4 linked regions of the Lonchura striata genome follow. The protein of the gene in region 1 interacts with the protein of each later gene in a pairwise test. Links are inferred from orthologs where the notes say so. Each region holds a gene or a part of one and is shown on either strand. Other genes may lie near its edges.

Region 1 (7,955 bases):
TTTTTAGTATCCTTGCTACTTACAACAAATATACTTCTGTAAATAACACAAATTCCTCTAACTTGTCAACTTCTGCTAGCTATAACCAGGTAGAAGTTGTGCTACTCTAGTACAAGGTCTGTTCATGTAATGTTACAATCAGCATGAGCTGTATCCATAAACTGTGAACACCCTGTGATGAGGAATATCTCCTTGCTCTTTCATCTAATTTCTGCTTGAAATCACTTCTTGACTGCAGTGCAGGATTCTACTGTGTAATGTCCCTCACTCTGCTAGACAACAAGATAATGTGGCAGAGGCAGAAGTGTTTGGCTGCAGCAGAAGTCAACACCTTGTAGCATCACAACCAATGGGCAAAAGGAACATGTGTGACTTAGGAAAGGCTTAATACTTGAATATGCCTGGAGTCATTCTTATCTGCATCAAACAAATGCTCTAGAACAGGCAAAATCTGGAATTCCCTTCAGCCAATCTGTGGTATTCCTATTTTAAGGTCTCTTAGCAAGTCTTCAAATCTTTAGTAAAAATGTTAAGAGTTGTGGAGCCTACCATGCTGTATTACAGAGTTTTTTCTACTATTAGCTGAACCAATCTACAAAGGGTGTTGAGAGGTTATCCCAAGAGCAGAGCAAAGCAGCAAATCATCTTGTGATTCAGAGTATTGGATGGGAAACATCCATTCTCATCTAAGCAAAAAAGGACATTTGATTCTACAGTTCAGCCACATACATACTTTACACCAAAACAGGAAAAGACATCTTGAATTTCCTGAGATGCAAGAGTATTTTGGGAGAATGCCTAATTTGGTAATGCAGTTTTAAGTTGTGCTTTAAGTTTTTTTGGTCCAAGTTTGAGGAAGGTATGATTTCCTGCTGTGGAATGCTACCTTAGCTGCGGGAATTGTAATTTTCTCTTCTTCCCCCTCCTCCCCTCCTTCCCACGCATTCCCCCTTTGTCCTGTGACTCAGCCCACCCCTCCCCCCTTCCCATGCAGTCCTTTGTCCCAACCCTGCGTTCCCATATCACTCCCCCTTGCCACACGGTCCGGTCCCTCCCCCCCCACCCCTTTACCATCGCCTCTCTGTGCCCAGACGGGGGCTGTAGCCTTGCATGTCCCTGGCGGTCGGGAGGCTTTTTCTTTTCCAAGGAGGACGCCACCTCACTCAGTCTTTTTGGAGTAATTCATACTGGAAAGCTCCTTCTCTTTCTCGGAAAGCTACCTTTTCTACCCTCTCCTCCCTATTCTGGGCTTTGGGGGTGAGGGGATCGAAAGGACACCAATGGTACAGAATTGTAAGCGACGACACGTCAGCTATGGGAGAATTGTTAACATCCTAAGGGAGGCCCTACACATCCATGCATTTCATCAGCTTCCAGCCACGTCGGGCCCCTCTCCTGTAGTATTCCCCTTCAGCTTCTGTGAAGCTTCCCCTTCCCTTTTCCCCACAGACTTCCCCAAACCTTCTCCCTTGGGGATGGCAGCAGCCGAGCCGCCCCAAGCGCCCTGCCGGACACTGTTATCCTCCCTTAGGGGCGGCACTGGCCGTGCCTCCCCGGGTGAGATGCAGTGCACCCAGCACCCCCTCCCAAGATGGCGCTGGCCATGCTACAGGGATCCCATTTTCCCACCTTGACCCTTCTCTTCCACCCCAAGTTTTCCCGCTGGCCCAACCCCTCCCCGAATGGCCCTGCACCATCCTGCAGTGGGCCAGCCCCTATTGGGGGGAGGTGAGGTTGGATTAATCCCTCAGTTCTTCTTCTGGCCCCCCTCTGATGGGAGGGATCACCAGAGGGGTCCCTCTGTTAGAGGACCTCCCTTTGTAAGAGAGCTTGCCCCTTTGCTGTGGGAAAGGGGGGGGGTTCAAAGGGAGTGGAGCTGGAAACCCGGACCAGAGCTCCACTGTTTCTCTTTCCCCTGAAACAGTGACGCCCAGGTTCTCCCCTCTATCCCATCTAAATGTACCTTGCCCAAAGTTCCCTTATTATTTCAATGCAAGTTTTCCCCATTGCTTGTGATAATTTGGAAATAACTCCTTGGATTGAGATATATCTTATAGAAGGAAAGATCATCCTCTCTAATTACTGCCCACAATGGTATGCCAACTTCGCAATCAAATAATCAAATTGGAGAAACCACGTTGCTGTTTGGTGCCTGTTTCTGCTCTGCTAGTATGCGAAAAACCACAAGCATCGCATCATGAATCCTGCTTTCATCCTCGATACAGAATGTGTTTATGATAATTTTGTACTTTGTCTTAAATTGTAATGTGGAAAAAATTTTTGCTCCATTCATTGATTGGTGTATCACTTTCTGATGTCTCTCTACTTACATTTTCTCAGTAATTTGTAACGTTGCTAATTTGTTTTTACCTCAGAACTCCCTTTCCTTTATGTAAATTCAAAAGACTGAGCTGCGGGGTTTGTAATTTTCTCTTCTTCCCCTCCCATTCCCCCTCTCCCCTTCCCACATGTTCCCCCTTTGTCCTGTGACCCAGCCCACCCCTCCCCGCTCCCCCGCGGTCCTTTGTCCCGACCCTGCATTCCCTTATCACTCCCCCTCACCACGCGGTCCGGTCCCTGTCCCCCCCCCCTCCCCTCCTTTCCCATCACTGCTCCTACTTCCCTGGGGTCTCCAGGGCTCCGGGGTCTCCAGGGCTCACCCTGTCTCCTGCCCTGTCCCTATTGGCTGTGGCTCAGGTTCCCCCACCCTGGGGTATAACCGACCCCTGGGTCAGTGTCCGTGGTCTCGGGGACACACTCCCACAATAAACACGTGTCTGCCCCCGAGCCCCGTGTCATCCTTCCGTCTGTTCCCACACTAGAACTGAGCCTCGCAGAGCAAAAGGGGAAAAGCGGCGCCGTCTCTCCCTCCCGCCATGCTCCCGCAGGCACCTGCCCAGAGCCGGTCTCGCACGGCAACACTTAGCAATACCTTTAAAGTAGTAAATGTCTAGGATGTATTCTTCTTTAGCTGGGGCCAAGTAACTTAAAGGCAAAAGGTACTGAATTATTTCATTGATGTACATTCACAAACTATGCCAAGTTACTCTTCTTGCATCTTCCGACACCAAACCCCTGCATCTCACTACAGGCCTCTGTGACACCTCATGTCTCATGGATTGGAGCTCCAGCAAACCACAGCTGCACGGCCAGCACCTGCACTCCCAGACCCTAGTTGGGAAACTGGTGACCTTCTGCATGGACCTCTGGAGATCACCATCCAGGCTAAGCCTTCTGCCAAGGGAAGGTCAGCTAGAGCAGGTTACACAGGAACATGTCCAGACAGGTTTTGAATGCCTCAAGAGAGAGAGAATCCATGACCTTCCTGGGCAGCCTGTTCCAGTGCTCTGTCATGCTAACTGTAAAGTTCTTCCCCATGCTGAAGTGGAATTTCCTGTCTTTGAGTTTATGCCCATTGCTCCTCGTCATGTTACTGGGCACCCCTGAAAAGAGGCTGGCACTATCTCTTTGTGAAAAACGCCAGTCACTTGTTTAGTTGATAAGTTTAACAGGAATAAAATAGCTATTAAAATAGTAGCAAAAATTAGAGCAGTAAGTATTTGGACAATAAAAAGCAAAGAATTATGGATGTCTGGGTGCCTTGCACTCTGCCACAAAGCACACCTTGCTAAATAAGGATTACCCCTTAAAAGCAATAGCCTGTTGCGTATTCATAATCTCATACATGATTTAAAAATTCAAACAAAGGATTTCTTCTGCTTAGAAGGATTTCTTCTGCTTACTCCCACCTTCGTCTTGTAAATTAGTCATGTTGGTCCCTTGGAGTCTGCGTCTTCCCAATAAGGAGGCAGTAATTATTCTCTTGGAATTTTAGTGTCTTGTTGCTGTTATCCCTATGCAAAGAATTTCTTAATTATCCATTCCTTGAGCTACTTGTAAAAAGAATCTTACATCACATTTCTATTTTAATATGCTATTGCCTAAAACTATATTTACCACATTACTTAAAAGAGATTAATACAGCATAACTTTCCAACATAACACCTATAGTATTCATTTTAATATTTGCGAAGAGCCAATCATGTAATATGCATTTTTCACACTCTTTGTATCCACCTTTGAGATATTCACATATATTGATGAATCCCCTCTCAGGCTTCTCCAGACTAAACAGGCCCACCTCCTGCAGTCCCTTCTCATACGAGAGATGTTTCAAGCCCCAAATTGTCCTTGTGAGTCCCACTGGACCCTCTCCAGTAGCTCCTTGTCTCTCTTGTACCGAGGAGCCCAGAAGTGGACGTGGCGCTGCAGTGTCCTCCCAGAGTGCTGTCCGTGGAGGCCGGCACAGCCCGGAGCCGAGGCGGCGGCCGGCACAGCCCGGAGCCCAGGCGGCGGCGGCCGGCACATCCCGAGCCCAGGCGGCGGCCGGCACAGCCCGGAGCCCAGGCGGCGGCCGGCACATCCCGGAGCCCAGGCGGCGGCCGGCACATCCCCGAGCCCAGGCGGCGGCCGGCACATCCCGAGCCCAGGCGGCGGCCGGCACAGCCCGGAGCCGAGGCGGCGGCCGGCACATCCCGGAGCCCAGGCGGCGGCGGCCGGCACATCCCGGAGCCGAGGCGGCGGCCGGCACATCCCCGAGCCCAGGCGGCGGCCGGCACATCCCGAGCCCAGGCGGCGGCCGGCACAGCCCGGAGCCGAGGCGGCGGCCGGCACATCCCGGAGCCCAGGCGGCGGCCGGCACATCCCGGAGCCGAGGCGGCGGCGGCCGGCACATCCCGGAGCCGAGGCGGCGGCCGGCACATCCCGAGCCCAGGCGGCGGCGGCCGGCACATCCCGAGCCCAGGCGGCGGCCGGCACATCCCGAGCCCAGGCGGCGGCCGGCACATCCCGAGCCCAGGCGGCGGCGGGAGCGCTCCGCTGGGAGTCGCGCGCCGCCCCTTCCAGTACCTTCCCCGGTGCGTGCGTCATCACGGCGCGCGGCGGCCGGGCCCAGCCGTTTCCGGTGTCGCGGGCGCGTCGCGAGCGCTCGGTTGCAGCCGCCGGAGCCGGGAGCCGAGCGCGCTGCCCCGCCCCGCCCCGCCCCACCGGGACACGGCGATGTCGGACACAGCGGACGGGCCCGCGGGGGGCCCCCCTGGCTCGCCCACCCGCGACTCGGCCGGTGACTCCGAGCCGCGGATCATCAAAGTCACGGTGAAGACTCCCAAGGAGAAGGAGGAGTTCGCCGTTTCCGAGGCCAGCAGCATCCGGCAGGTGAGGGGCGGCGCGGCGGGCTGCGGAGCCGGCGGGGCGCGCTGGGGCCGGGCCGGGCGGAGCGCCGCCCGGCTGGCAGCGCCGGCCCGCGGCTCCCGGCTCGGCTGCGCGGGGCCCGGGCCCTGCCCAGTGACAAAGCAGCTTCTGCTCGCCCGGGAAGGGACTGCTGCCTTCTGAGGAGGGCGGGGGCAGTGGAGAAATGTGCCGCCTCGCACCCTCCTCTCCCGCTTCTCTGTTACACTGCAGAGGGCCGGTTCGGAAGCTGGATGTAGCTCATTCGTCAACTCGTTGAGTCGTAGAAACGTGGGGGTTGGAAGGAAACATCAAAAATCTTCCAGTTCCCCTGTCGTAGGCAGGGACACTTTCAGATAGACTAGGTTGCTCAAAGCACCATTCAGCCTGGGTTGGAATACTTCCAGGGATGGGCCATCCACAGCTTCTCTGGTCAGCCTGTTCCAGTGCCTCACCACCCCCACAGTAAAGAATTTTTTCGTAATAGCTAATCTAAACCTACTCTCTTTCTCTTTGAAGCTATTGCCCCTTGTCCTGTCAGCACATGTTCTTGCAAACAGGCTTGCCTCATCCTTCCTGTAAGTTCCCTTCAGGTGTTGGAAGGCCACAATTAGGCCACCCCAAAGCCTTCTCTTCTCTCATTTTCTAGCTGTGAGTTGTCCTGTTCAGCTGACTGGCTTTGGTGGTAGTTGTCTCACTGTCTGGCTAACATGACTGTAGAAAACATACACAGTTACTTGTATCTCTGTATTTCCAGTGTTTATTTTGATCTAACACTGTCTTTAAAGACAGTGAGTAGGCCTTGAACTTTGGGAAGTTGTAGCCTTGTACTGTGTTTGCAAAATCTTCAGTCTCCCATACTCTGATGTGCTAGTTACAGATATAGTACTTAGCATGGCATGGTTATGTCAGATAACCAATTTATTAGGGCTTTTGTGCCTTCCTGTGAAAGTCTATGCTCCAGCTGCCTTTGTCTCAAACTAGTGACACCTGCTGATTCATCCACACTGTTTCGTGCAAGTCTTCTATTTTTTCAACTCTTTTAGTAGGTTTGCTGTGCAAGTATTGACTAAAAATTCATTTACTTAAATTAGAAAGCAACAAATCATAGCAAAGCTGCTATCAAAATGTAAAAATGCAGAGACTCCTGCTTACAAAGAATGTAGGTGTTGCTAGATTCAGAACTTCTTTTGTTTTCCATAGGATTTCCCAGTTTTCACCTTGAAATGGCTCTAACTGTGTCAACTTTGTGCTATTCCACATTTTTTTGTGTGACTTTGGTATTGCAGACTTCATAAAAAAAGATAACATGTCTGAAAGCGTCACTTATATCTAGATACAGAACTTGACATCATTCTTTAAGTGTGAGCTGAAGGACACTGATTGGTTAATAGAAGAGGATACAAAAGATTAAGTAAAATCTCCGAAATTTCAAATGTAGTGATAGCTATTCAACTAGACTGTCAGACTTTTGTTTCATCTAGTTGCTGTGAATAGAGAAAATGCTAATATTTCTTTGAGGTTTTTTTTGTCCTTGTGTCTAATCTACATTCAGTTTTGTTTTGCAATGTTGGTTTTTTTTTTTTTTTTTTGTACATCAGTGTTTGGGCTAGAAGTGTCCCAGACCTGAGTTTCATTGAGGTTTTCTCAGCTGCCAATGCACTGAAGCTGCTTTCTTGTCCTCTTGTCTTTTGGCAGCTGCAGTGTTGTGTGCAGTGAGCTATTCTCTCTGCAAGCTTGATCTAGGCATTTCTCCCAAAAGTAAAAAGACTGTGTTTGCTTTTTAGTGTTTTCCACTGCTTTCCCAGCAATCTCAGTCTGAAAAGGGTGCTTTCCACTTCTCTGTTCTCCATATATTTGTGAACAGCAGCAATGCAGTTTTTGTAAAAGTCTTTGCAGTTTTGGGGCTTTTGTTTTGTTAGGATATTTTAAAAGAGAGATTCATAAACTTAATATAACCTGAGGATTGTGTTTGTCCTGTAAAGCAATCAGCCATTAGCTGGGTCCTTTGGAATTAATAAAGAGATTTACTTTAGCTGTGAATCTTGTAATACATTTGACTTTAACAAGTTTGTTTCAGATTTGAATACTGGCGGATCTGCCAGGTTTTCAAATAAACAGTTGTCATAAACTGAAATGGTTGTACAACCTATCAAGCACATGAATTTTTACTGAAAGCAGTCATACAAGTTTAGAAAATTAACAGAGGATACTACTTCAGATGTCTCTGTTGTCTACAGATACCTTAAACTGTGTTTTCTCTCTTGGCACTGCTGTTAAAATATTAGATGTGCGGTTATGACTTAATTCTTGTGAAGTAAGATTTCCCTGCTGGGTTGACCATTGGATTGAAGTCTCAGGCAGTGTAACAGCACAAAAAAATGCGCTGTCCCCATAGAATGACTAATACTGGCTTTTTCTCTTAAACTGCAAAAATGAGCTGTTGATTATAATAAGTATAAACAATAGATGCAATGTTTCTAGAACCAGCCTTGAGAATAGGTTAATCTCAAATACCAGGCGAGTTGCACATCTGTTCAAGTGCATCTGGGATCAGCAAGTGGTTTGTACAGTTGAGATAAGTGGGCCAGTAGCTTGTAGGCTGAAAGGAAAACAAAACAAAACAACAACAAAAAAAGGCAAAAGAAACTCCCTCAGTATATTTTTATAGCTAACATTAGAACTTAAAGAATTGAGCTGTTTATTTCTTTACGGTCATTTCAGGTACT
Region 2 (7,389 bases), on another chromosome or scaffold:
CTCGTGACGCGGCCCCGCGGGGACATCCCGAGGCCCATCGGAGTCCCGGAGCCCTCTCCAAGGTGGCGGTGCCCGCGGGAGGAGTCTCCTTTTTCATACCCTTGTTCTCCATGCCCACCTTGTTCATGAACACCTCCGGGTCGAAGTGGGGCCCGTTGATGTCGGTGGGGTCCGGGGGCGCCTCGGCCGCCTCGGCAGTGGACGGGCCATAGTAGCGCTGCAGCGGCCCGTGGGGACGCCGCCACCCCCCGCCCCCGGTGCTCCCGCCGGTGGCCTCGGGGCTGCCTGCGGCCCCGCTCCCGGCCCCGCTCCCCGTCGTCACGGCCGCCATCGCGCCGCCGCTTCCGCCCCGGCAGCCACTTCCGGCCTGTCCATTACGTCACTTCCGGTGAGACGCCGGGTTGCCATAGCGACGGGGAAGCGGCGCCGGACATGGCGGAGCCCAGATCCCGGGGCCTGGGGCGGCTGCCACGGGGACGGGGCCGGCGCGGCCCGTGTCATGCTGCCCCACGGCGACAAGAATCCTCATTCGGACGCAGACATGGGTGGAGACACCGACCCTCGAGGGCTGAGCGGCCGCTGGCACCCTTAACCCCGGGCCCATGTCTCTCACTGTCCCTTTTCACCACTCTCCACCTGTCCGCAGGCCTCCCCAGTGTCCCGCGAGGCCCCAGTGCCTCCTCGTGCTCCTCTCCCCTCACACCGGGTGAGGTCCTGGGGACCCCCACCCTACCCGAGGGTGGCTCCAGGTGACGCTGGAATTGGGCTGTGAGGCTGCAGGTAAAACCAGGTGATCGACCTTGCACCTCGCACAAGGAACAAACATCTGGGCTAAAAGGTCTAAAATCAGCTTTATTTACAGCAGAAAAGGCAAAATAAACCCTGCCACGGTGAAGGCCAGGCTGCTCCAGGGGCCTTTTGTTGGGAGTCACCTGCTCCAGGAATCACAGGCCGTTGATTCTTCCCAAAGGAAAGAGCCCAGACCTGCCACGTTGCACCAGGAAAGCAGGAAGAGCCAGAGGAAGCTCCTGCTGCCTCTTTTGTCCTTGCCTTTCCTGCACGTTTTCTCCCAAATGTGGAAAAGAGAACACATAATCCAGCCAGGGTGTGTTTTGTGAGCAGTTTGGTACATGGGACAACATTCTCTTCATACCTATGGGCCCGAGTTAGCCCAAGGGCAAAGGAATTCCCACTGGGAACAGGGAGAAAGCAAAGGAACACCCAGCCATCCATCCATGAAGAGGGTTTGCTGGAGAGTCTAAATCAGAGGAGAAGGAATGGCTGAGCCCTGCCTGTTACAGGAAAAGAGAAGCAAATAAGCAAACACACCCTCCAAGGTAAAGCAGGGGTTCCTTTTGTACTCTCTAAATGCATAAACAAAACAGCAAATCCCTCCTTGGATCCCCCCACTCCCAAGAGCACTGCGGGGGGAGTTCCACCTCACTTTATTGGCACTACATCTCCCCAAAGTGCTCTAAAAGCAGGATGCCACGTTAACCACAGTTAACTGGACCTTCTGCCACCGGTATTCTTTACCCTGATTTAGTAACTTAATTTGCACATGTGTGGGAAGGTTCTGGAAGGTTCCACACAAGTGCAAATCCATGTGGTTATGGACTGTGGCCCTCCCTTCCCAGAGGGTCCAGCCTGGTTTGCCCACAAGGATGATAAAGACAACCAAGCCAGGATTTAATGAAAGTCCCGCTCTCCTGCATCTCTTCCCTGCTACAATGTGAGAGTATCCAGGCCCAGATCCATTGCTAATTCCACCCGGATTAGCAATGCACAAGTTTCCTTTCACAGTTTCCTTTCAGCCCAGGGATATGGTCTGCAAGTCCAAGGGAAATGGAGAGTGGCCACACGGAATGTAAGTCACACATTGGTACTCCCAAATCCCCTAAGTCAGCATCCTAAATCCTACAGCTCGCAAAGCTCAGCTGGGTTATGGAGTATCCACAAGTCCCTGGATTTGTTAGTTCCTGGTTTTGATCGAGGGAGGTCATGTGGAAGTGGCCCTTAGAAACAGCCCACGGGATGGAGACAAGGCAGGAGGTCACGGCCAGAGCCATGACCCCAAAATCCTGACAGACACGAAGATCCCTTTGGAGCCAAACTTGTTTTGGAAGAGCTGCCTGGGCCCAGCCGGAGCGCTGACAAGCTGGAAGGAGAAGTCACTGGGAAGGTGGAGGTGTGGCTGGAGGCTCCTCTGGAAAACATGTGGCCAGGTCTGTGGATGGTGAGGTCTGGCCTGTGCCACCTGCCAGCCCGGGCTCAGGTCCCCGCCCGGGACACCAGGTAGTAGAGGATGAAGAAGATGAGGACGAGCACCGCGGACACGGTGAGGAGCAGGCGGCGGTTGTCGCGGCCGGAGCGCGCCATGCCGGAGAAGCGCTTCACGCTGCCCGTCAGCAGCCCTGTCACGCTCAGGAAATCCGAGTCCTGGTGGGAGGAGACACCTTGGAGGCATTGCAGGATCATAGAACTTCCCAAGTTGTAGGGACTCACAATGAGCCAGTCCAGCTCCAACAGCACAGGACACCCCAACAATCCCAGTGCTGATTTAGGGCTTCTTCCTTAAGGGCTTTTGCCGTCCCACCTCTCATCCCAATTCCCTGATTTGCACAGAAAGCCCCGTGTCCCGTTTGCCAGGTCCTTACCATGCCATCCAGGTAGCGGTTCTGTTCCTCAGCATCCTTGTCAATATCCAGAGCCAGCTGCAGGGCAAGGCAGGAAATGGGCATTAATGAGCTTTTAATGTCCAGAGAACCTCTAAAATCTGAAATGCAAATTATTAAAACAAGCTGCTGCTTTCCCAGCTCCAACAGACACACAGGGGCTTGTCTGGTGCAGGAACAAGGAAAATGGCATTTCCCTGTCAGGTGAACTTTTTCAGCTCTGAAAATAAAGCCTGGCTGTCTAAATCTGCCAGCTAGAGAAGGTAGTTTAAACCCTGGGACACAATGGCAGGAATTCAGCTTGCCCTTTTACACAGTGAGTCATCAACTTCTTTCATGGTTTGTACTACACTTTTAATAATAATTTAGAGCTTAAAGCTCTAAATCAAAGTGTTTGATGTTAATAGGAGCAAACCAGCATTAAGAACAGTTACACAGAGACACAGGTATTTTCCAAAATTAATCTGCCTGCCTTTTTTCCATTAATTTTTCCCCAAGGATGTGAGCTTAGCAACACTCCTGTGTTCAGGTTAGGCAGGGCTTGGAGCAACCTGGTCTAGTGGAAAGTGTTCCTGTCCATGGGAAGGGGTGGGACTGGATGAGCCTTAAGGTCCTGTCCAACCCAAACCTTTCCATGGTTCTGTGATCCCCTGCAGGACTCCCAGGTAATCAGAGCCTGTCCTTCACCTCAACACCTGCTGTGACCTCGGCACTCACCGACTTCAGCCTGGTGACCTTGCTGGCCAGGCTGTCGGCCATCCGCTTGTTCTCCACATCCAGCAGGTCCTCCATGGCGCTCGGGCTCTGCCCTGGGGAGAAGAACGAGGAGCACACATCATGCCTGCCGTGCCACAGCACAGCTCTGTTCCCACCACAGCCCCTCCACACATGCTTTGTGCAGTGGAACCTTCTGAAAATGTGACCAAAACACCACAGACTTCCCCCAAACAGGCCAGGGTGAGAAGCCAGAATTCAGGGTATCTGAAGTGCCACCCCAGCCCAGCAGCAGCTGTGGGGGTTCCATGGCCAGTGACATCCAGGGGTGAGATTTGGGTGAAACCCGGGGCCCTCTGCCCCTCGGCCGTGCTGGGGTCTCTCGGCATTGCCCCCATTGTGGGGCAGGTTGGGGCTGGGGGGGATTAGGAGTTCTGGGGCAATTAGGGGCTATGGGGGCTCTAAGAGGTATTTAGGGTTTATGGGGGGGGGGGGCTTAGGGATTCATGGGGACAATTAATGGATAGAGGGAGCAATTAGGGGCTCGGGGGGGCAGCCCAGAACCCCAAAAAAGGCACAGGGAGGCAATTAGGGCTTACGCGGTGGGGGGGGTGGGGTGTTATTCCCGGGCTATAGGGGGAGAAATCGGGGCACTGCAAAACGCCCCGCGGGGTTCAGTGGGATCGGGAGTTCCTCCTCCCTCCGAGCCGCTCCAGCCCCTTCTGCCCCCCAAACCTGTCGCTGTCCCTCGTCCCCTCACCTCGGCCCCGCTCCGCCATGGCTGCCCCGGCCCGTCCCGCCCCGCCGGGCGGAGCCGCCACGAAATGTCCGCCCGCTCTTCCTCCTCCTCCTCCTCCTCCTCCTCCTCCTGCCCCCCGGCGCCGGGACCCTCGGGCCGCTCGCCCGGGCCGGGGCGGAAGGGCTGGAATTCCCTCCCGAGGGATCCCGGGCCGCAGGTACGGCCGGCGCCCTGCCCGGGCACAGCGGCGGGACAGGGGCTGGGGGAGGAAACAGCGCCTTGCGGGCAAAAACCGGGGGGTTGGGGACAAATATAGGGCTTTGGGGACTAGAATAGGGGTCTGGGGGCAAAAAGAAGTTTTGGGGAAATAATCAGGGGTTTTGGGGGTGGGGAAATAGAGGTTTAAGGGGAAAATAGGAGCTTGGGATAAAAATAGAGGTTTGGGGGGAAATAGGGGCTTGGGACAAAAATAGAGGTTTGGGGGGGAAGGTAGGGGTTTAGGGATATAAACGGGGTTATGGGGACAAAAAAGGAGGTTTGGAATTTACTCAGATGGTGAGGGAAGGAGGTGGCAGTAGGAGTATGGAAATGGGGATATGCCCAATGATCCGTTGGTTAATGTCATCCCTCCAAAAGCAGAGGTGGATCCCCTCCATCCCAGCCCCTGCACATGGGGATGCTGCCCCGGGCCAGCCCAGCCTCCTGTCTCCGCAACTGTCCGCCTTCCAAAATGCAGGATCTGCCTCTTTTGGTCCCCCCAAAACGCCCCTCTGGGGCTGCGTGGGCAGGAGGGGACAGCCCGTGTGATTCCCAAACCCCGGGAACCCTGTGCCTGGGATCCCGGTTTGTTGAGGTTGGTGTGACCAGCTCAGCCTCATCCTCATGGCAACACGGAAGCCGAACACATGTCCGAGCTCAAATCTGCTGGATTTCCCCCCATGGGAATCATGTCCCAGCGCCCTGGGCTCGCGTGGCTCCGTGAGCCGCTAAACCGGTGCCGTGTCCGAAATAATCCCGCGGTGCTGCGCATCTGCTGGCTGGCACTGTCGGCAGGGACATCCTCGCCCGGCGGTGGCCTGCAGGGATCGGCCATGATCCAGCCCGCCACCAAACCCTCCTGCTCTGCTTCCCACCGCCTGCAGCCGGAGGATGCTCTCCCGCCTGGCTGCCTCGCCGCTCCGTCCCTTGTCACTCCGCGGCAATGTTTCGTGCTTTATTTGTTATTTTCCCCCTGTGCGGCAGCAGAAATCAGGGCAGGCGGGGAGGAGGAGGAGGAGGAGGAGGAGGAGGCAGGGAGCTATTTCAGGGAGCTGCTGTTATCTGCTCCACGTTAATCTCCAGCTGGTGGGGGGAAGGTTTTCCCTGAGTGCTTTCCTGCGAGGGCATATATTAAACATTGAAAAGCAAAGCGAGGAAGAAGAGGATTAGCAGGAGAGAGAGAGAGGAAGTTGGCTGCTGGCTTTGCTCGGGTTATCCATCTGCTCCACTTTTATGGATGCAGCAGTGTGAGCAATATCACTTGGGATTTTTTTGTGTTGTGTTTTTTCCCTCCTTGCTCTCTCCACCCCTTTCTCTCTTCCCTCTCAGAGGTCTGTGTGCCGAGCTGCTTTTCCATCACCCTGGAAATCCCCTTGCTCCTCTTCTTCTGGGGCTGTGCCATAGCTGAGCTGTTGGGATAATGGAGCTCCAGGCTGTGGTGTCCACGCTGGAAAGTGGGGAGCAGGACACGGTTCTCAAGGTGCTCCAGGTCTACAACCAAGAGGTGAGTGAGCATCAACGCTTCCCTCATCTCAGGAACTCCTAAAAAAATGATTATCAAGATCCCAAGTAAAGCCTGGCCTGGAAATAAGAGTCAGGGTGAGGACTGAGTAGGAGGAGCTTTTATGTTAAGGTAGTTTTGGAGGTGCTGAGAGAATCCAGGGAGGGGCTGCAGGTGAAACGATGTTGGGATTTGCAAGTCAAAAGATGATTGGAGGTAACTGCTGGGATCTCATATGGGCATGGCTCTGAAAGCAGTAAATAATGAATGTAGAATGTAGAATATCAAACCCCAATGATCTGGAAGCAGAGATGGAAGTGTTTCTAGCCTTAAAGTAGGAAAAGATAATCCGTGGTGGTAAATCTCTGCTTGGAGAAAGGAGACTGAGGGGAGACCTCAGCCATTTACATCTTCCTCCTGAGGGGCAGTGGAGGGGCAGCTCCAGTGTCTGCTCTCTGAGCAGTAACAGGACCCAAGGGAACAGCTGGAGATGTTTAGGTTTTATATTAGGAAAAAGTTCTTCCCCCAGAGGATGTTTGGGCACTGAACAGGCTCCCCAGGGAATGGGCACAGCCCCAAGGCTGCCAGAGCTCCAGGAGCATTTGGACAGTGCTCTCAGACACAGGGTAGGATTGTTGTGGTGTCTGGGCAGAGCCAGGAGCTGGACTGAATGGATTGTGTGGGTTCCTTACAGCTCAGGATATTCTATGGCTCTGTGAAATCCTGTTTGAAACAGACTCTAGTTGTCAGAGAAACTCGGAGGTTTCCCCTGAGAGGGGCTGGCCCTGTGGATCACTCTGACTCACTCTGCACCAGGCTGGAGTAGGTGGAAGCCAGCAGGGAAAACCTGAGGAATATTTTGCAAGAGTGTGTGAGAGAGGGAGTGTGTGGAGCTATTCCTAACAGTCAGATTTGGAACGGGGAGATATTGGCCAAGAAGGAGCAGGTGTCTGTTAAGGACAGCACTAAGGATTAACAGCACCAGCAGCAGGTGCAAACAGTGTCTGTGTGCCCCCAAACCATGATATTTCCTGTTGGAGTCCCCCAGCTGGGTCCTTCCTGGGGTATTGAGCCTAGGGAACTGCAGCCACAGGGTTTGCTGGCCTGTCTGGAGGAAATGGAGCAGTCAAAGAGGATTATGAATCTGCAGATAAACCTGGCACTGCCTGGCATTGCTTCTGCTGCAAGACTAATGGTTCTGTACGCTTTTCCTCTGGATTTGTTTTTAATTCACTGTTGTGCATGCAGTTTTTGCTTGCTGGGAATATGCTACAGCTAAAGCAAAACCCCAGGTGTGGCCAAAATACCCCCAAATGGGATTACAGCCTGAAAAGAGGATGTGCTGAGGGAACAAGCAGCCTGCTTGTGGAACACGGCAGTGGCAGGACTGGGCCATCAGCTCCTGGTAGTGTGGATGGATCAGCTCATGGAGCCCACACTCAGCCTGGCTGGAGTACACCTGTCCTGCCCCCACACCTGGGGCTGCTCCAGGCAACTGTGTC
Region 3 (7,212 bases), on another chromosome or scaffold:
GCCCGGGGGTCCCCGTGCCCGGGGGTTACCTGTGTACCTGTGCCCGGGGTCCCTGTGCCCAGGGGGGCTCAGGGATGCCACCCCTCGTTCCCAGGGGAGATGCAGGGCACCCTGCACCGGCTGCTGCTGGAGCAGAGGCAGAGCGAGCTCCGGGCCGGCTCCGTGCTGCTCCTGAGGCAGGTGAGGAGAATCTGGGGGGCTGCTGGTCCCACCCCAGCGGGGTCTCTTCCATCCCTGGGGAATGCGGGGTGGGGGATACAGCACATCACCTGTGCCATTCCCAACCCCGTTGCACCCTGGAAGTGGGAATGTAAATATTAGGATAAGGGGATAAGAGGAACTGGTGTGGTCATGTGGTACGTCCCTGTTCCCGTTCCATAGCACTCTGGAATAAAAAAATATCAAAAATATAAATACAAGAAAAGGATCTCCCACGGTTTTGCACCTCGGATTTTTCTCAGCTATTCCTAAAATGTCACCCCTCATCCTGAGATTTCCATGAATGGGGACCTGTACCTTGGGGGTTTATCCAGGAGCTGTGTCTGCCCTCTCCGCAGGTCGGGGTCTTCTCCCCCTCCCACCGCAACCACTACCTCAACGTGACCCCCAACAACCTCCTCCGGATCTTCCCACCCGAGCCCGAGGGCTGCTCCCCCCGCCAGGTCAGGGGGGCACCGGCGGCCCTGGGGGGCTGCTGGGACCCCAGGGGGGTCTGGGTTCTGGGGACCCTCGAGAGAAGGGGGGGCTGGGTAAATCCCCCAGGAATCCATCCCCGCTGGGTTTTGCAGGTCCCTGGCCTGGCTGAGCTGAGCCCAGAGCCCCCGGCACGGCCCACCCGGGCTGTCCCTGCTCCCGAGCACCGGGGACAGCCGAGGACAGGCGGACCCAGCGCGGAGCAGCGTCCCGGGGGCTCCTCCCTGCGCCCAGCGAGCTCTGATCCCGGCTGGGAAGGACCGGTGGGAACGGATGGATGTGACCTGGGTGAGTCGGAGCCACCCTGGAGGGGAGGAGAAGCTCTCCGGCCTGGGGAAAGCCGGGCCTGGCCCCTGAGCAGTGCCACGGTCACACACACACACGAGTGACATCCTCTGTGCCTGCAGATGACCTGGACGGGCTCCTGGGAGAGCTGCCCGAGGATTTCTTCTCAGCCCCGGCTCGGGTTGACTGCGGCTGAGCCCAGCAGCTCTGCTGAGGGTGGCGGTGCCAGGAGCAGGTGGCACGGCTGGCACCCCCCTGCTGCTCCCTGCGTGTCCGTGGTGTTTGCTGTGGGGCCGAGAGCCGGGGCACCCCGAGGCCTCGGCGCTGCTCCGGGCCCCCAAACCTGCATTAAAGGGCTCTTTGGTTTCTGCATCACCTGTGTCCTCGTGTGTCACCCCTGTTCCTTCCCGGGGTCCCTGCTCCTCCGGGTGTGAGGAGCCGTCTCCCCAGGCTCTCACAGCCCTGCAGGACCAGGGATCCCCAGGTCCCTCCCCGTGGGACGTCCCCACCTCGCGCCCACCAACAGTTTAAGCTGCCCTGCACCCCGTGACTCTGTTTACCACCAGGAGTTATTTATAATCCCCTGGCTCTGGGATTCGATTGCACACCCGCCTGTGGGGCACGGCCCTATTTATATCCCCGAGCTGTGCCCCGAGCCCCCCGCCCTGCCCTGCCGGGTGCCCATGGCCCACGAGAGCTTCGCCTTCAGCCCCTCGGCGCTGCGCTCGCTGCGGCTGCAGCGGGAGCTGCTGGAGCGGGAGGATCGCCGCCGGGCGCTGGCCCGGGCACCGGCCTCGCGCCCCCTGCCCGGGACCCCCCGCGCCCCCCCGAGCCCCCCGCGGCGGCGCCAGCTCTGCCGGGACCCCGCCGTGCACAACGCCCTCTACGCCGGGGACCTGCCCCGCGTCCAGAGCATCTTCAGGGACGAGGCCAGCGCCAATCTGGTGTTGGAGATGGTCAGCGAGGAGCTGGTGTGGTCACCGGAGCAGGGTACGGCCGGCCATGGGGCTGGGGGTCCTTCCCTGCTTCTCCCTCCCCCCCGTTCCCCTGCAGAACGAGTGGGGGGCAGGAAAAGGGGGTGCAGCTCCGGGGGGAGCGGGGCTGGCTGCTCCGGTTTGTGGGTGACAGGGAGTCTGGGGCAGGGCGGGTGCTCGGGGCAGCCCCATGGGCGCCCCACTGCTCCCGCCAGCTCCAGGGTGGGTGGGTGTGGGTGAGGGGGGTCCAGCGGGGTGCGGGCTGTCCGGCAGCCCCCGCTGACCCCCGCAGGGCTGTGGGTGCTGAGCCCCCGCCGGGAGCACACCTCGGCCCTGCGCATCGCCGCCGCCCGCGGCTACGAGGCCTGCGCCCGGCACCTGCTGCTCCGCGGGGCGGCCGTGGACGCCGTGGTGGGGGGCCGGGCCCCCCTGCACGACAGCGCGGCCGCCCCCCACCCCAACTGCGCCCGCCTGCTGCTGGCCTTCGGAGCCGACCCCAACGTGCTGAGCGCCGACGGCTCGGCCCCGCTGCACCTCTGCACCGCGCCCCACAGCCTCAGGTGCGGGCTCACCTGCGGGGTCTCACCTGTGGGGTCTCACCTGCAGGGTCTCACCTGTGGGGTCTCACCTGCAGCCAGGGCGGGCTCACTGCAGGAGGGGCCCGTGAGATCCTCACTCCTGCCCCACCCACGCAACCTGGGAGCCAGGGGCCTGGGGGGTGTCCTGGGGGGTGCCTGGGGGTGTCCTGTGGGTGACAGGTCACTCCAGGGTGCCCATGGCAGCGTCCCGTGGGTGACAGGTCACTCCAGGGTGTCACTGGGTGTCCCTGGGGGTGTCCCTGAGGGTGTCCCATGGTTCCCAGGTGACTCCAGGCTTTCCCGGGGTGTCCCTGGGGGTATCCCATGGGTGACAGGTCACTCCAGGGTGTCACTGGCCGTGTCCCACAGGTCACAGATGACTCCAGGCTTTCCCGGGGTGTCCCTGGGGGTGTCCCATGGTTCCCAGGTGACTCCAGGCTTTCCCGGGGTGTCCCTGGGGGTGTCCCTGAGGGTGTCCCATGGTTCCCAGGTGACTCCAGGCTTTCCCGGGGTGTCCCTGAGGGTGTCCCATGGTTCCCAGGTGACTCCAGGCTTTCCCGGAGTGTCCCTGGGGGTGTCCCTGAGGGTGTCCCATGGTTCCCAGGTGACTCCAGGCTTTCCCGGGGTGTCCCTGGGGGTGTCCCTGCGGGTGTCCCACTGCAATCACGTCTCCCTGGCACGTCCCGGTCGCGTCCCACGGGTGCCGCGTGTCCCCGCCGCGCCCGCTCACCGTTCCCACGCGCTCCAGGTGCGCGGAGCTGCTGCTGGCGCACGGCGCGCGGGTGAACCTGGGCACGCGCGACCGGCAGGTGACGGCGCTGCACGTGGCGGCGCGCCACGGGCTGCCGGCCCACGTGGAGCTGTACCTGCACCACGGCGCCGACCCCGAGCGGCGCACCCAGCAGGGCGAGACCCCGCTGAACGCGGCGGCGGCGGCGGCCGAGCGCCCCGAGGACGCCGAGCGGTTCCTGCGCGTGGCCGAGCGGCTGCTGGCGGCCGGCGCCCGGGCCGGGGCCGCGGGCCGCAAGGGCCACACGCCGCTGCACAACGCCTGTGCCAACGGGCACGCCGCGCTGGCCCGGCTGCTGCTGCGCCACGGCGCCGACGCCGCCGTGCCCAACGGCGCCGGGGACACCCCCATGGACTGCGCCCTCCGCGCCGTGCCCGAGTACCGGGAGCAGCGGCCCGAGGAGATCCTGGCCCTGCTGCTGGACCACGGCGCCCTCCCCGCGCACCCCAAGGTGGGGCACGGGGTGACGGGGGACTCGGGGTGCCGGGGGGGTCACCCCGGTGACACGGCTCTGCTGGCAGATGCTCAGGCTGTGCTGCCAGCACCCGCCGGCGCTGGAGGTGATGCTCAACGCCTACGACCGCGTGCCCCCCGCCGACGGCTGGGCGGAGGCCGTGCCCCCCGAGCTCTGGGAGGTAACGGGGTCCTGGGGGGTCCCGGGCCGTGCCCGTGTCCCATCCCGGCGCACCGAGCCCTCCCGTGTCCCCCCACGCAGGAGCACCGGGAGTTCTACGCCTCGGCCGTGCGCATGGCGGGGCGGCCGCGGCGGCTGCAGCACCTGGCCCGCGTGGCCATCCGGCGCCACCTGGGCGCCCGCTGTCGCGCCGCTGTCCCCGAGCTGGCGCTGCCACCCGCACTGCGCCGCTACCTCCAGCTGCCCATCGAGGGTCTCATCTCCTGAGGGCACTCCATGTGTCCCCGCCGCTGCCCCCTTCTTGCGTGCCCTCCTTGCTCCCCACGAGTGTCCGCTGCCTGTGTCCTCCCCGTGCCCTGCTGTCAGTAAAGGACATGGCAGAGGTGGCTCCCGAGGTGTCCTTGTCCCCGTGGGACCAGCGGGGCAGCGTCACCTGCAGTGGGGACGGGGGAGGAGGGGACAGAGCCCTTGGGTGGCAGGGGGGGGACAGACGGGCCCCGGAGGATGTGGGGGCCGTGGCGGGGGTTACAGCCGGGCCGGGGGGTCCGGGGGGTTCCGGTCCCGGGGGGGCTCAGCCCGGGGTTCCCACGGTGCTCCCGGGCCCCGCCCCGCCGGTGACTCCGCCCCAAGTGGCCCCGCCCACGCCGGCCCCGCCCACTCGGGGCGCGTTCCGCTGGCCCCGCCCACTCGGGGCGCGTTCCGCTGGCCCCGCCCCTCTGGCCCCGCCCCCGGGGCGCGCCCGCCGCCCCCGGCCGCCCCCTGGCGGCGGCGCGCGGTGACGTGGCGCTTCCGGCGGGGCGGCGGCGGCGGGAGGCGGTGAGTGGGGGGGGCACCGGGACCCCCGGGACCGCGGGGACACCCGGGACCGCGGGGCTGGCAGGGACACACCGGCACCCCCCGGGATGGCCGGGCATGGCGGGCACGCACCGGCACCCCCGGGAATCACGGGGACCGGCAGGGACACACCGGGAGCCCCGGGCACGGGTCGGGACGTCCCCGGTTCCTCCCGCCCCGCCATGCCCGGGCCCCGCTGACCGCATCGCTCTGCTCCGTCCAGGTCGGGGATGGCCTGACCCTGCCCCGCTGGGCACCGAGGGGCTGGGGCACCCCCGGGACTCTCCGCCGGGCCCGGTGAGGTGAGCGCAGCGCCGCCGGTTCGGTGTCTCGGGAGCGAGGAGGACAATCCGCAGCGAGGAGCTCCCGTCCCTGCGGTCTCCGGGTACCGGGAGCGGCCCCAGGGTCTGTTGTGAGCCCGAAGGTGGCACCGGGGCAGCCCCGGGGGTCCCCGCTGCCGCCGCGCCGCTCGCTCACACCGGGCACCGGGAGGTCGAGGCGGGCATCGCGGAGATGGAGCCCCCGGCCGCCCCCCTCATCGTGGGGGTGGGGGACGAGGTGACGCTGGTGGCCGGGGTGGCCGTGCTGGTGCTGGCGCTGGTGCTGGCCTGGCTGTCCACGTACGTGGCCGAGGGCGGCAGCCAGCTCCTGGGCACCGGGGACGCGGCCGTCATCCGCCTCGGGCCGCTGCCGCCCTACGCGGGGCCCGCGGGGGCGGCCGAGGCCCCGGAGCCCCCCAGGAGCCCCGCGGGCGCGGAGGAGAAAACGGAGGAGGAAGGGGCGGCGGCACCGGGGGACAGCGGGAGCGGCCCCGAGCCCGGCCTGGAGCAGCTGCTGGACGCGCCCGGCTTGTCCCGGGGCGCCGCTGAGCCCGGGGGCACCGGTGACGCGTGCCCCGGCCTCATCAAGATCCGCCTCAAGTTCCTCAACGACACCGAGGAGGTGGCGGTGGCCCGGCCCGAGGACACCGTGGGGGTTCTCAAGAGGTGAGGGCCGGGGGACGCGGGGAGCGCTGCCGGGCCCCCGCTGCGAACAGCCGCTTCCCACGGGACGGGGGAGGGCGTTCATCCCTCCCGATGTGCCAAAAATACCGGGGGGTGTGGGCTTTGAGACAGCAAGTTCGAAAGAGGCGGCGGTGGCGGTGCCGTGGTGAACCCTCCCCGTTTAACGGAGGGGCTCCCAGCCCGGGCGGGTCCCTCCCCGGGCGGGTCCGGGGTCTCCGCCGCCCCCACCCTCCTCCCTCCTCCCGCAGCAAATGCTTCCCGGGCCAGGAGGCCCAGATGAAGCTCATCTACCGCGGGCAGCTGCTGCAGGACCAGGCGCGCACGCTGCGCTCGCTCCGCATCACCGACAACTGTGTCATCCACTGCCACCGCTCCCGGGGGACCACCGCGGCCACCGCCGCCCTGCCCGAGCCCGGCCCCGCCGGCCCCGCGGCCCCGGGGCTGCCGCTGGCCGGGGGCACGCTGATGGTGCCCACGGTGATGGTGGTGCTGGCGCTGGGCTGGTATTTCCGCATCAACTACCGGCAGCTCTTCACGGCCCCGGCCACCGTGTCGCTGATCGGTGTCACCGTGCTGGTCACCCTCCTGGCCTTCGGGCTGTACGGGCAGGCGGGGTGAGCCGGGGCGGCACCGCGGCCTCCGTCCCCGCGCTGGGTCCCAGCCTCGCTGCCGGACTTTGCCCCCCAAAAAGGGGCTGTGCCCCCCCCAGACTCCACTGCCGGTCCCCAGCCCCAGCTCTGGGGGAGCTGGACAGCACTGGAACGGGCCGTGGCTTCTTCCCAAGGACTTTTTAATGCAAATAAAGGGTGTCAAGTCACCCCAGTGGTCGCCTTCCTGCCCTGGGAGCTGCTCTCCTACCCACCCACACTTCTGGGTCTTATAAAAACAAATCCGGCTCCCCCCCCCCCCGCCCCGTGCTGAATGGAGTGGGTGGAGATGGAGGTGGGAGGGGTAAAGGCCCTGTTTAATTAACGAGCTGTAATTAATGCCAGGGATACCAAGTCAAGATGCAGTTTTATTTACAGGGGCAGCCACAACCCACTCACGGGACACACAGACCTCACAAGGGCTCAGTTCCCCTGCGGGGGGGACGCGCAGAAACACCGGGGGGGGCAAGGACACCGACCTGGGGGGGTCACAGGGCACGGTCTGACCCCCCCAAGCCCCACTGCACCCCTTGGACCCCAAATCGCAGTGCCTCTCCTGCAGCTGAAGGGGCTCAGGATGCCTTTCCCCCACAGCCCCAGCTCGCCATGCCCCCCCAGGCAGTCTGGGGTGGTCCCCCGTGTTTTTGGGTGCCCACAGCTCCGTCCTGGGGCCCCGGGGCACACGAAGGCCAGCTCGGCGTGCTCCGGCGGCCCCGCAGCAGCGGGGACCGCTCGGGGGTCCCCACGAGGGGGGCCCGCAGGGTTCTGAGGTG
Region 4 (7,675 bases), on another chromosome or scaffold:
TTGCTGATGGGGAAAGATCGTTGGCAGCTTCCTGTCTGTCAGCAGCTGCGCTCAATTTTGATGCAGCTGTGGCTTTCCAGCAAAGATCTCCCCCTGCACTTGTTGACTTCACCATGGGAAGAAAGAAGTTGTTCCTTTGTGAGATCTAGATGGCAGTGAGTGCCTGATTTCTACACGATAAATTTCTTCAGTGCTTTCTTACAAGATCCAAATCTTATCTGCAGGGACCAGGCCTTGATGCTGCCCTCAGAGGAGAGAGGCGGTGGCACGAGAGACGAGGGGTGCCTTGGGCTGCCTTGGGCTGCCTGGGCTGTGATGCTCTGGGAGCAGGGCTGAACATGGCTCAGGTGCTGAGCTCAGATGTGACCCAGGTGAAGAATTAATTTTTACTCAGGGCTGGATTTAGAAATCCCCTCAGCTGGACCCAAACCTCTCTCTCTGGGTTGCCAGCTCTTTGCTATTTTGAAGAAGGGAGACTTTTGCTTTCAGTCCCCAAAGGTTGGTTGGTTGAACATGAGCTGGTGGCAAAAGGACTGCTTGCCTGGAGGACAGCTCACTTTTGAAGGTTATCAACGGTGATTTTAGGCATTTAACAGTGCAGTTCATGGGTATACCTGAGATGGATCAATGTGCTCAGGGCCCATTGGATATCCAAGTCTCACGAATCTCATCCCACTTGAGCAGTGAGTGTCAGAGAAGAAAACTGTTCTGCTTTCCTAAAAGGCAAGGTAGTCAAAACAAATGGTCCTTGTGTTCAACCCAGCTGCCATTCAGACACTCTCCCCTGTGCTCTGTCTATCCCCTATTTTTTTCCTGTTGCTATCATTCTCTCTTCACTCTTGTTTCCAGCTCTGCTTGTAAGAGATGTAGCCTTTTCTGTACTGGCTGCTCCTCAGAGCAGTGATCTGTAAAAAATATGTATTTCTACTTTCTCAGCAAAGCAAATAAAGAGCTGAGCATCACAGACAGGGCACAGCGCTTCAGGATCCCCCCAGTTGCTCCAGCTGTCTGCTGGCTTTGTTGCTCCATGGGGATGAGTGTTTGAGGGCTGCAGGGCTCAGCTTGGATTCCCATGGAAGCCAGGGTCAAGCTCCTATCAGCTAAGGCAGGGGAAAACCCGACCCTGAGAGCAGAGCGACCCCCACAGCAGTTACGGTTTATCTGATTTCTGAGCAGTTGTCAAAGAGAAACTTCTTTATCAGGACTCTGCCTGGACAGATAGTGCCTTGCCTTCGAGCCTCTCTGATAAGCAGCGGGACTGGGGGTGCCCCTGCACCCATGGGAGTCCATCTGTCCATCTGGATGCCTGTCAGGAATACAGGCAGCAAAGTAAACCTGTACTGCCTGCTGAGGAAAAGCAGCAGAAGGAGTGGCCTGACACTGCTATGTCAGATTACTCCTCTGGACCAATCTGCTCCCTCAGCATTTACCTGGGCTCGAGCAGAGAAGGGGTTGATGTCCGATTTGGCTGAAACAGCCCCATGATGCCCCTCTGGGTTCCTGCTGGGATTTCCTTTTGCCCCATATTCTGCCTTCCTCAGCAGAGTAGATGTCCTTGTGCCAGGCACTCCTGCAGTGTGGTCCACGTTTAGTGATGTTACTAAATGAGTGATTACTCCTGAGCCAGCTGGGAGATACAACAGCCCTGAAAGTTACTACTAAGGAGCAGTTCCTCACTTTAGATTTTGAAGTGTTTATTGTAAGACTGCTCCCAGATTTTTCAGGCATAATGGGAAGTTCTGGGTGTCTGCTCAGGGGTCTGGGTGCACAGTGTCAAGGCAGCCTTCTCCCTCCACCTGCTCCCCGCTCCCCAAATTAATGCCTTACAAAAATCCAACGCAAGAGCTTTGCAGGTTAAGAAATGTGCTTTGCATGTGATTTGAAAATAATGGCAGCACTTCACTGCAGGAGCTGTAAGCAAGACTCCAGGAGCAAACTGTGCTCTCAAATACCTGCTCCTCATTTATTTGCTTCTTTTTGCAAGCGTGTTCTGTTGGAATATATAATCTTTCAGTTTGCATACACAGGATCTATGCAGGAAGAACATTATCCTATGAATCTTTCTCACATTTTATGGAAGGCAAATTTGAGGTAGCTGACCTTGGTATGGTGTCTGTGCTCTCCTCTGCAGATTTAAAATATTTAACTTAAAATCCTGTTTCTCTTGAGCTCTGATAGTCATGCCATGGCACGTTTGAAGGTCAGTGTTCCAATATAGTTTGGCTCATGTGTTGTTCTCTGTTTAAAAAAAGAAAGTTTGTTAACTTTCAGCAGTTTGTGGCCTCTAGCCCAAGATTAGATTTTTTTAATTAGAGCTGATTATTTTCATTGTATGTATTAAGTGGTTTACAGATGGTATTCCTTGGGCATCCCATGGCACTCCACAAAGGGAATGCTTTACTTTTAACTCCTGCAAATTCCAGACTGTTTCAGATCTAGGTCTCCAATCACTTCCATGTTTTTAGGAAGATGGAAAACTCCTCGCCAAGTGCAGCGGGATGTGGGCACTGGCAGAGCACAGCAGGGCAGGAGATGGGCACAGGCTGCCCCCCCCTGCAGGCTTCAGGGCAGATGTACATGAGACAGGGGTAAAACATTTGCTTTGGACTTCCCACAGCTACCAATTGTAAAGTGAGCTCATTTCCTGAAGTGTGCTGCAGACAGAAAAAAATAACAAAACTGTGTGGCAAAACTGCCAGTGCTACAAGTTCTCCCATCAGCTGATGGTACAAGACAGGTAACTCAAGATCTCCCTCCAGATGCAGGGAATGTGCAGCTCCCCTACCCACAGCGGCTCCCCCAGCTGCCGTGGGATCCCCAGTTGCCCACTGGTGGGCATCGCTCTGGCTTCATCCCATGGGGCATCCAGTGCCATGGGGACAAGTGCCCTGGGCTGATGGGAAGGGCAAAACTAGCCAGTGGAGTTTTTCTTCCTCACACGGGGGTTGTTTGTGCACAGAGGAGGGCATGGAACAGGTCAGCGTGTACCCGTGAACAGCGGAGAGTGAGAGGTGCTATTGCAGGGATGGTTTCTGCAGCCTCCAGCAAGGGGAGGCTGATCATCTCCCTCCCGTGTTTGCTCAGCTTCCTATTGATGCTGAGCACTGCCTTAAACAAAAAGAAATTAAAAGAGAGCTGATGCTAAAAAGGCAAAGTAGAAATATGGGTGGCAATAAAACCCACTGCACATGAGCCCTTCTGCACCTGCTTTTTTGAATCTCCTGTTTTTCCCATGCCAGAGAAAAAACCCCGTGCGCAGAGGGTCATAAAACTGAACACGCAACTCAATTCCTCAGTCCAGTGATAAATCCCAGCCTGGAGAGGGGAGGGAGTTGCTGGAGTCTCTTCTGCTGCTTCATGGGATTTTGGTGGAACATCATGCCCTGGGGAAAGTCACTGCTCAGCCCAGATCCCCACTGGGGGCCTCTGCGGACTTTCCACCACATAAAAATAGATTTACCACAGACAACTTGCACTATCAGCCCCAGGAGCGACAAGGTTCTGCAGCACGTCAGGCCCACACGTGCACCAGTTAACCCAGCAGCATTCTGTATGACTGAGAAAAACCTTCACTGCTTTGATAACCTCCTTGTTTGTCATTTTTTCTGCAGTGAACTCAAGGCTGGTTTAATCACAGCCAAAAGGCAAGCAAAAGCTATGAGCCAGCTGAAAGGGAGCTTCTATTTTCTGTCTATATAAGAGCTTTCATGGCTTTTCAGATGTGTACCTTGTGGAGCCACATGTGATCTAAACCCTTTCCCACATTCCCTGGGGCATTTGCACCACACAATGATAATCTGGCCAAGCAAATTGCCTATGCTCTTCCAGAAGGAGTTGATATGTTTCTACCAGGATATATTATCTAACTTAATACATTTTTTTTCACTTCCACTGCAAATATCTATGATTCTGCTTTCAAAAAAACAAAAACACACACACACACAAAAAAAAAAACCCACCAAAAAATAAAAACCCAAAAGACCAAAAAAAGCGAACCCTCAAGCCTGGCATGAGATTCCAGAGATAATTTACTTCTGTGGAAAAAGATGATTCCCCAGTTGGTGAAACATGTACTGACTGTGAGTAGCTGGCTTCTAACCTGACTGGTGAGGGCTTGAGGCAGGGAAAAGCAGTGCCAGTGCTAATGCAAAAATGCAGTTTTTGGACCTAAAATAGGGGAACATTAAGCACTGCTTTTTCACTCTGGAGCCCTCTCAGCATTGGGCAGAGGCTGGGTGGGATGTGTGCCTTGACCACGGGCTGCTGGCAGCACCACCTTCAGTCCACATCATGGGTATTGGGTTTGCTTTCCTGCTTGGGCAAATGCAGGAGATGAAGGCAGAGAAGATTTTAGTTTGGACTGATGAAGGCAGGAAGGCCACAGTGCTGGGCTTTTCTGTTCATGTCTCACTCCCATCAATCAGGAAGTGGTGACGCAGGTTATGGGTTGGGTTTGAGGTTTTGGAAACTTTTCTAAAAGTCGATCTCCTCGCCCCGTCTTATTTCTGAAGTGTGACGCTGTGGTGAAGGCTGGTTGCGAGCAGAGGGATGCCAGCCAAGATGCAGCTCCTTATCAGATGTAACGGGAGGATTTTCCTGGCTATTTGTTTAATCCTCTTTGTGGGATACACAGCACAAGGTAAAATGGGGCGGTTGTTCTCGGTAATCCTCTTTCTGGGCTATGCAGTGGAGGCCAAGTAAGCAACCTCTGAATTTTACAAAATGGCCTTCTTTTGGGGGTAATAAGATCTACTCAGAAAGTCTGTTTTGCTGTTTCCTTCTCTGGGTGTGTGTGTGGGGGCAGGGGGGGAATGCCAAGAAAATGTGTTTTTTACAATTGGAGCATTTCAATTTTTGAGAAAAGACTTCATAAAATATGTTGTTGCATGCGTATATGTTTTCAGTCTATATATCTCAATATATATTTTTCTAAGTGTCCCTTCCATAGTGGTCTGGTTACTGCTGTTACTCAGTTATGAGTTACAGACATAGTGTGTAAGAGTTCTCATGTCATAACTCCTATGGTCTGCTTTCTGGGGGAGCAGGAAAGGAAATTAGTTGTAAGTATGAGGAAACTAAACGGTTTATTCCGTAAAGCATTGCAACATACACCACTAAAATGACAAAAGGGAAATATTGATTCATGATGCTGTGCCCCATGGATTTTTTTTCTCATGAGAGAAAAACTGCTCTTCAAGCATGTAGAGTATCATTTGTCCATAAACCAAAGCTGTGATAGTTAAAGGCTCTCAATATGCATTACCACTCGGAGGCTGATCTTTGAGGGGTTATGACCTGCTTGTTCTATGTTGCTTATTTGCAAATTTTTCAGCTGCAGCTGTTTGTTTTGTTGCCACTGTTATTATTAAAAACCTTCTTAATAATAGGTGAGGAGAAGAAAATAAGTATGAAAAAGGAATATACTGTAGAGGCAGCAAAAAATTAAACCCGTGAGATCTTTTTTCTTTTGCAGAAGAGTGTAGGAGGTAGCTGAAAGTCATCCAGTACATTATGGAAATATATAGGGCAATAGAGAAGTGTAATTACAGAAAGATATTCCCAGGAAACGGAGAAAAAAAATAGATAAATGCCAACAGGTTGAGAATGCACCAGGAGGTTTCTGAACAAATTAATTACATGAGACCAAGAGGAAGGATGAAATGTCACTGCTTCTATCTTTATTATGTGATCCTTCTTTTGTCATTTTGGTGTTTTTTGAAGACCCACATTTTCAGTGACAGCCCCAGTCAGGCACCTGGGGAGCACCAGAACTGAAAACCCAGGTTTACAAAACCTTGTTGTGTCTAGGAGACACCTGAACTGTCTCTCCTCTGGCAAGTGCTCCCAGAGCCTCCATAAACCCCAAACCTGCTCCTTTGGCACACCTTGAGTTTCTCATGTCCCCACCAAAAGTCAGCCTGTTGAAGGGGCAGAGCTGGAACCAACAGAGGAGGGAGAGCACAGGAGACAGCTCTCTGCTGGGTGCCTTGTCCCCAGAGGTTTTCACATTATTTTCACATACCTCCACCTTCAAGGAGAGCTGCAGGAGGCTGAGCCCCCAGGTCCCCCGTGGTTACGCCACACTGTGAGCTGGCGATGAGCCTTGCTGTGACAGCAGTGCTTTCCCATGGACTTCCTGGTGCTGTGTGTGAGGGGATTCCCTGGGATTTTCCATGGACTTCCTGGTGCTGTGTTCCAGATGTGCCTGATGTCTCTGATGACAAAAATGTCACTTAGGATGTCAGTAACCATTTAAAAAAAAAGCCTTCAGGGTTACTTTACTTTTCCGGAGGTTGAGCAATCAGGGCCACGCAAATTACTTTCATCCACTCCTTTAAGCCTTATCAGGTGCTCATAAAGTTTGTAGGACCTGCTGAATAATGTCCTGGTCCTCATGGACAATGTGTGGCTGATTCCATCAGGTGCTCCGATGCAGAGGGCGAGGTACAAGAGGGTGAGGTGCCGGCCTGACACCTGGTCTGCTAATTGCATCGAAGAGAAGGGGCCCTGGTTTTACATGCCCTCTGGTGGGGCCAACAGGATCCTTCCTCCCATGGCAGACCCGTCCTTGTAAGTTCATTTGCCACATGATTGCACCCCAAAATGTATGACTCCTGCCTTGACAGTCCTGTCACAGCATGGCTCGCCCACAGTAACATGAGGCTTTGATGTGTTCATCTAAGAGAGAAAATTGCCACTCTGTGTTTCAGGATGAAGAGATACCAGGATTTGGGCGATATATTCCCTCTCTCGGATGAGGATTCTGGCTCTGGGTCCAACACCGTGGTGGAAGCAGAGCCAGCCTCTGGGTCGGGGCTCGGTGACAATGACAGCTTCTCTGAGGCGAAGCTGCCTGTCTTGCTGGAGAGCCTGCGAGGCAGCGAGCTGAAGGAAAAGCTGTCGGAGGAGGATTTGCTCCTGTAGGGCCGGAGACGTCCTCACCTGCCGCTCCCTCGCCTCTTCCCCAGAGCCTCACCTGACAGCCACGAAGCGGTTTTAAACCAGCATCAATAAAAACTCTGCCTTAAGATTTTTACTGCTTGCACTTACTAAAAGCATTGTTGTTCAGTCTGTAGTGCCTTTTTATGTGTGCGCGTGCAGCAGCCATCCCAATGCGGGGAGCAAGAGCGATGGGTGAGCAGCCAGCTCTGTGGGGCAGTCATCGTGCTCTGAGGGGATAAATTCCAACCCTTTGTGCGCTGGGAGCCGCCTGCACTTTTACAGCAGTCAGCCAACCGCGTTTCCCGAAAACGAGAGCGAAGTCCTGCCAAAAGGAAAGATTTATTCCCGCGGGTGTTTCCTGAGGGGACCCCGCAGCGCTGCCGCCTCCCGGCCGCCAGGCGGCGCCCTCCCGGGGCGGGCGCGGAGCGGGAGGGGCGGTCACGTGCGGCGGGGCGTGGTCCCGGCGCGGGATGGGCGTGGCCTGGAGGGGGGGGGAGACCCGTAAGGTCACATGACCAGGGGCGCGCGGCCGGGGGCGCTGGTGGTGGTGCGCGCGGGGCCGGGGCCGCGGAGGGGCGCGTACCATGGTGAGTGCGGGGGGCGCGGCGGGGGCGCTTATGAGGGGTGTGCAGGGGGCGCGTACCATGGCCAGTGCGGAGCGGGGGGGGGCAGCGCCGATCCGCCATCGCCCGAGGCGGCGGCGGCGGCCTGGGCAGGGCGGTGCCTCCTCTGC

What was found.
Region 2: the proteins of UBQLN1 (region 1) and RIC8A interact in binary tests that used the Homo sapiens proteins (3 or more experiments, as listed by UniProt). The link is inferred for Lonchura striata from reciprocal best matches to the Homo sapiens genes UBQLN1 and RIC8A.
Region 3: the proteins of UBQLN1 (region 1) and TMUB2 interact in binary tests that used the Homo sapiens proteins (3 or more experiments, as listed by UniProt). The link is inferred for Lonchura striata from reciprocal best matches to the Homo sapiens genes UBQLN1 and TMUB2.
Region 4: the proteins of UBQLN1 (region 1) and SRGN interact in binary tests that used the Homo sapiens proteins (3 or more experiments, as listed by UniProt). The two-hybrid records come from large-scale screens. The link is inferred for Lonchura striata from reciprocal best matches to the Homo sapiens genes UBQLN1 and SRGN.

What each region holds. Positions count from the first base shown.
Region 1 is NC_134642.1:26,244,903-26,252,857, reverse strand, and holds the start of UBQLN1 (ubiquilin-1), read left to right. Parts: upstream 1-4,951; 5' UTR 4,952-5,058; coding exon 5,059-5,214; intron 5,215-7,955. UniProt on the Homo sapiens protein: Plays an important role in the regulation of different protein degradation mechanisms and pathways including ubiquitin-proteasome system (UPS), autophagy and endoplasmic reticulum-associated protein degradation (ERAD) pathway.
Region 2 is NC_134608.1:53,231,810-53,239,198, forward strand, and holds the start of RIC8A (chaperone Ric-8A), read left to right. Parts: upstream 1-4,258; 5' UTR 4,259-4,345; intron 4,346-5,715; 5' UTR 5,716-5,806; coding exon 5,807-5,890; intron 5,891-7,389. Other genes in the region: VPS51 (vacuolar protein sorting-associated protein 51 homolog), read right to left, coding at 119-331; BET1L (BET1-like protein), read right to left, coding at 2,272-2,439, 2,658-2,714, 3,393-3,484, 4,150-4,168.
Region 3 is NC_134627.1:8,666,644-8,673,855, forward strand, and holds TMUB2 (transmembrane and ubiquitin-like domain-containing protein 2), read left to right. Parts: upstream 1-4,717; 5' UTR 4,718-4,770; intron 4,771-5,011; 5' UTR 5,012-5,301; coding exon 5,302-5,774; intron 5,775-6,040; coding exon 6,041-6,410; 3' UTR 6,411-6,609; downstream 6,610-7,212. Other genes in the region: HROB (homologous recombination OB-fold protein), read left to right, coding at 95-180, 558-662, 789-981, 1,101-1,174; ASB16 (ankyrin repeat and SOCS box protein 16), read left to right, coding at 1,662-1,968, 2,245-2,512, 3,279-3,771, 3,842-3,955, 4,036-4,221.
Region 4 is NC_134609.1:34,918,661-34,926,335, reverse strand, and holds SRGN (serglycin), read left to right. Parts: upstream 1-4,511; 5' UTR 4,512-4,548; coding exon 4,549-4,639; intron 4,640-6,422; coding exon 6,423-6,570; intron 6,571-6,710; coding exon 6,711-6,924; 3' UTR 6,925-7,068; downstream 7,069-7,675. UniProt on the Homo sapiens protein: Plays a role in formation of mast cell secretory granules and mediates storage of various compounds in secretory vesicles. Required for storage of some proteases in both connective tissue and mucosal mast cells and for storage of granzyme B in T-lymphocytes.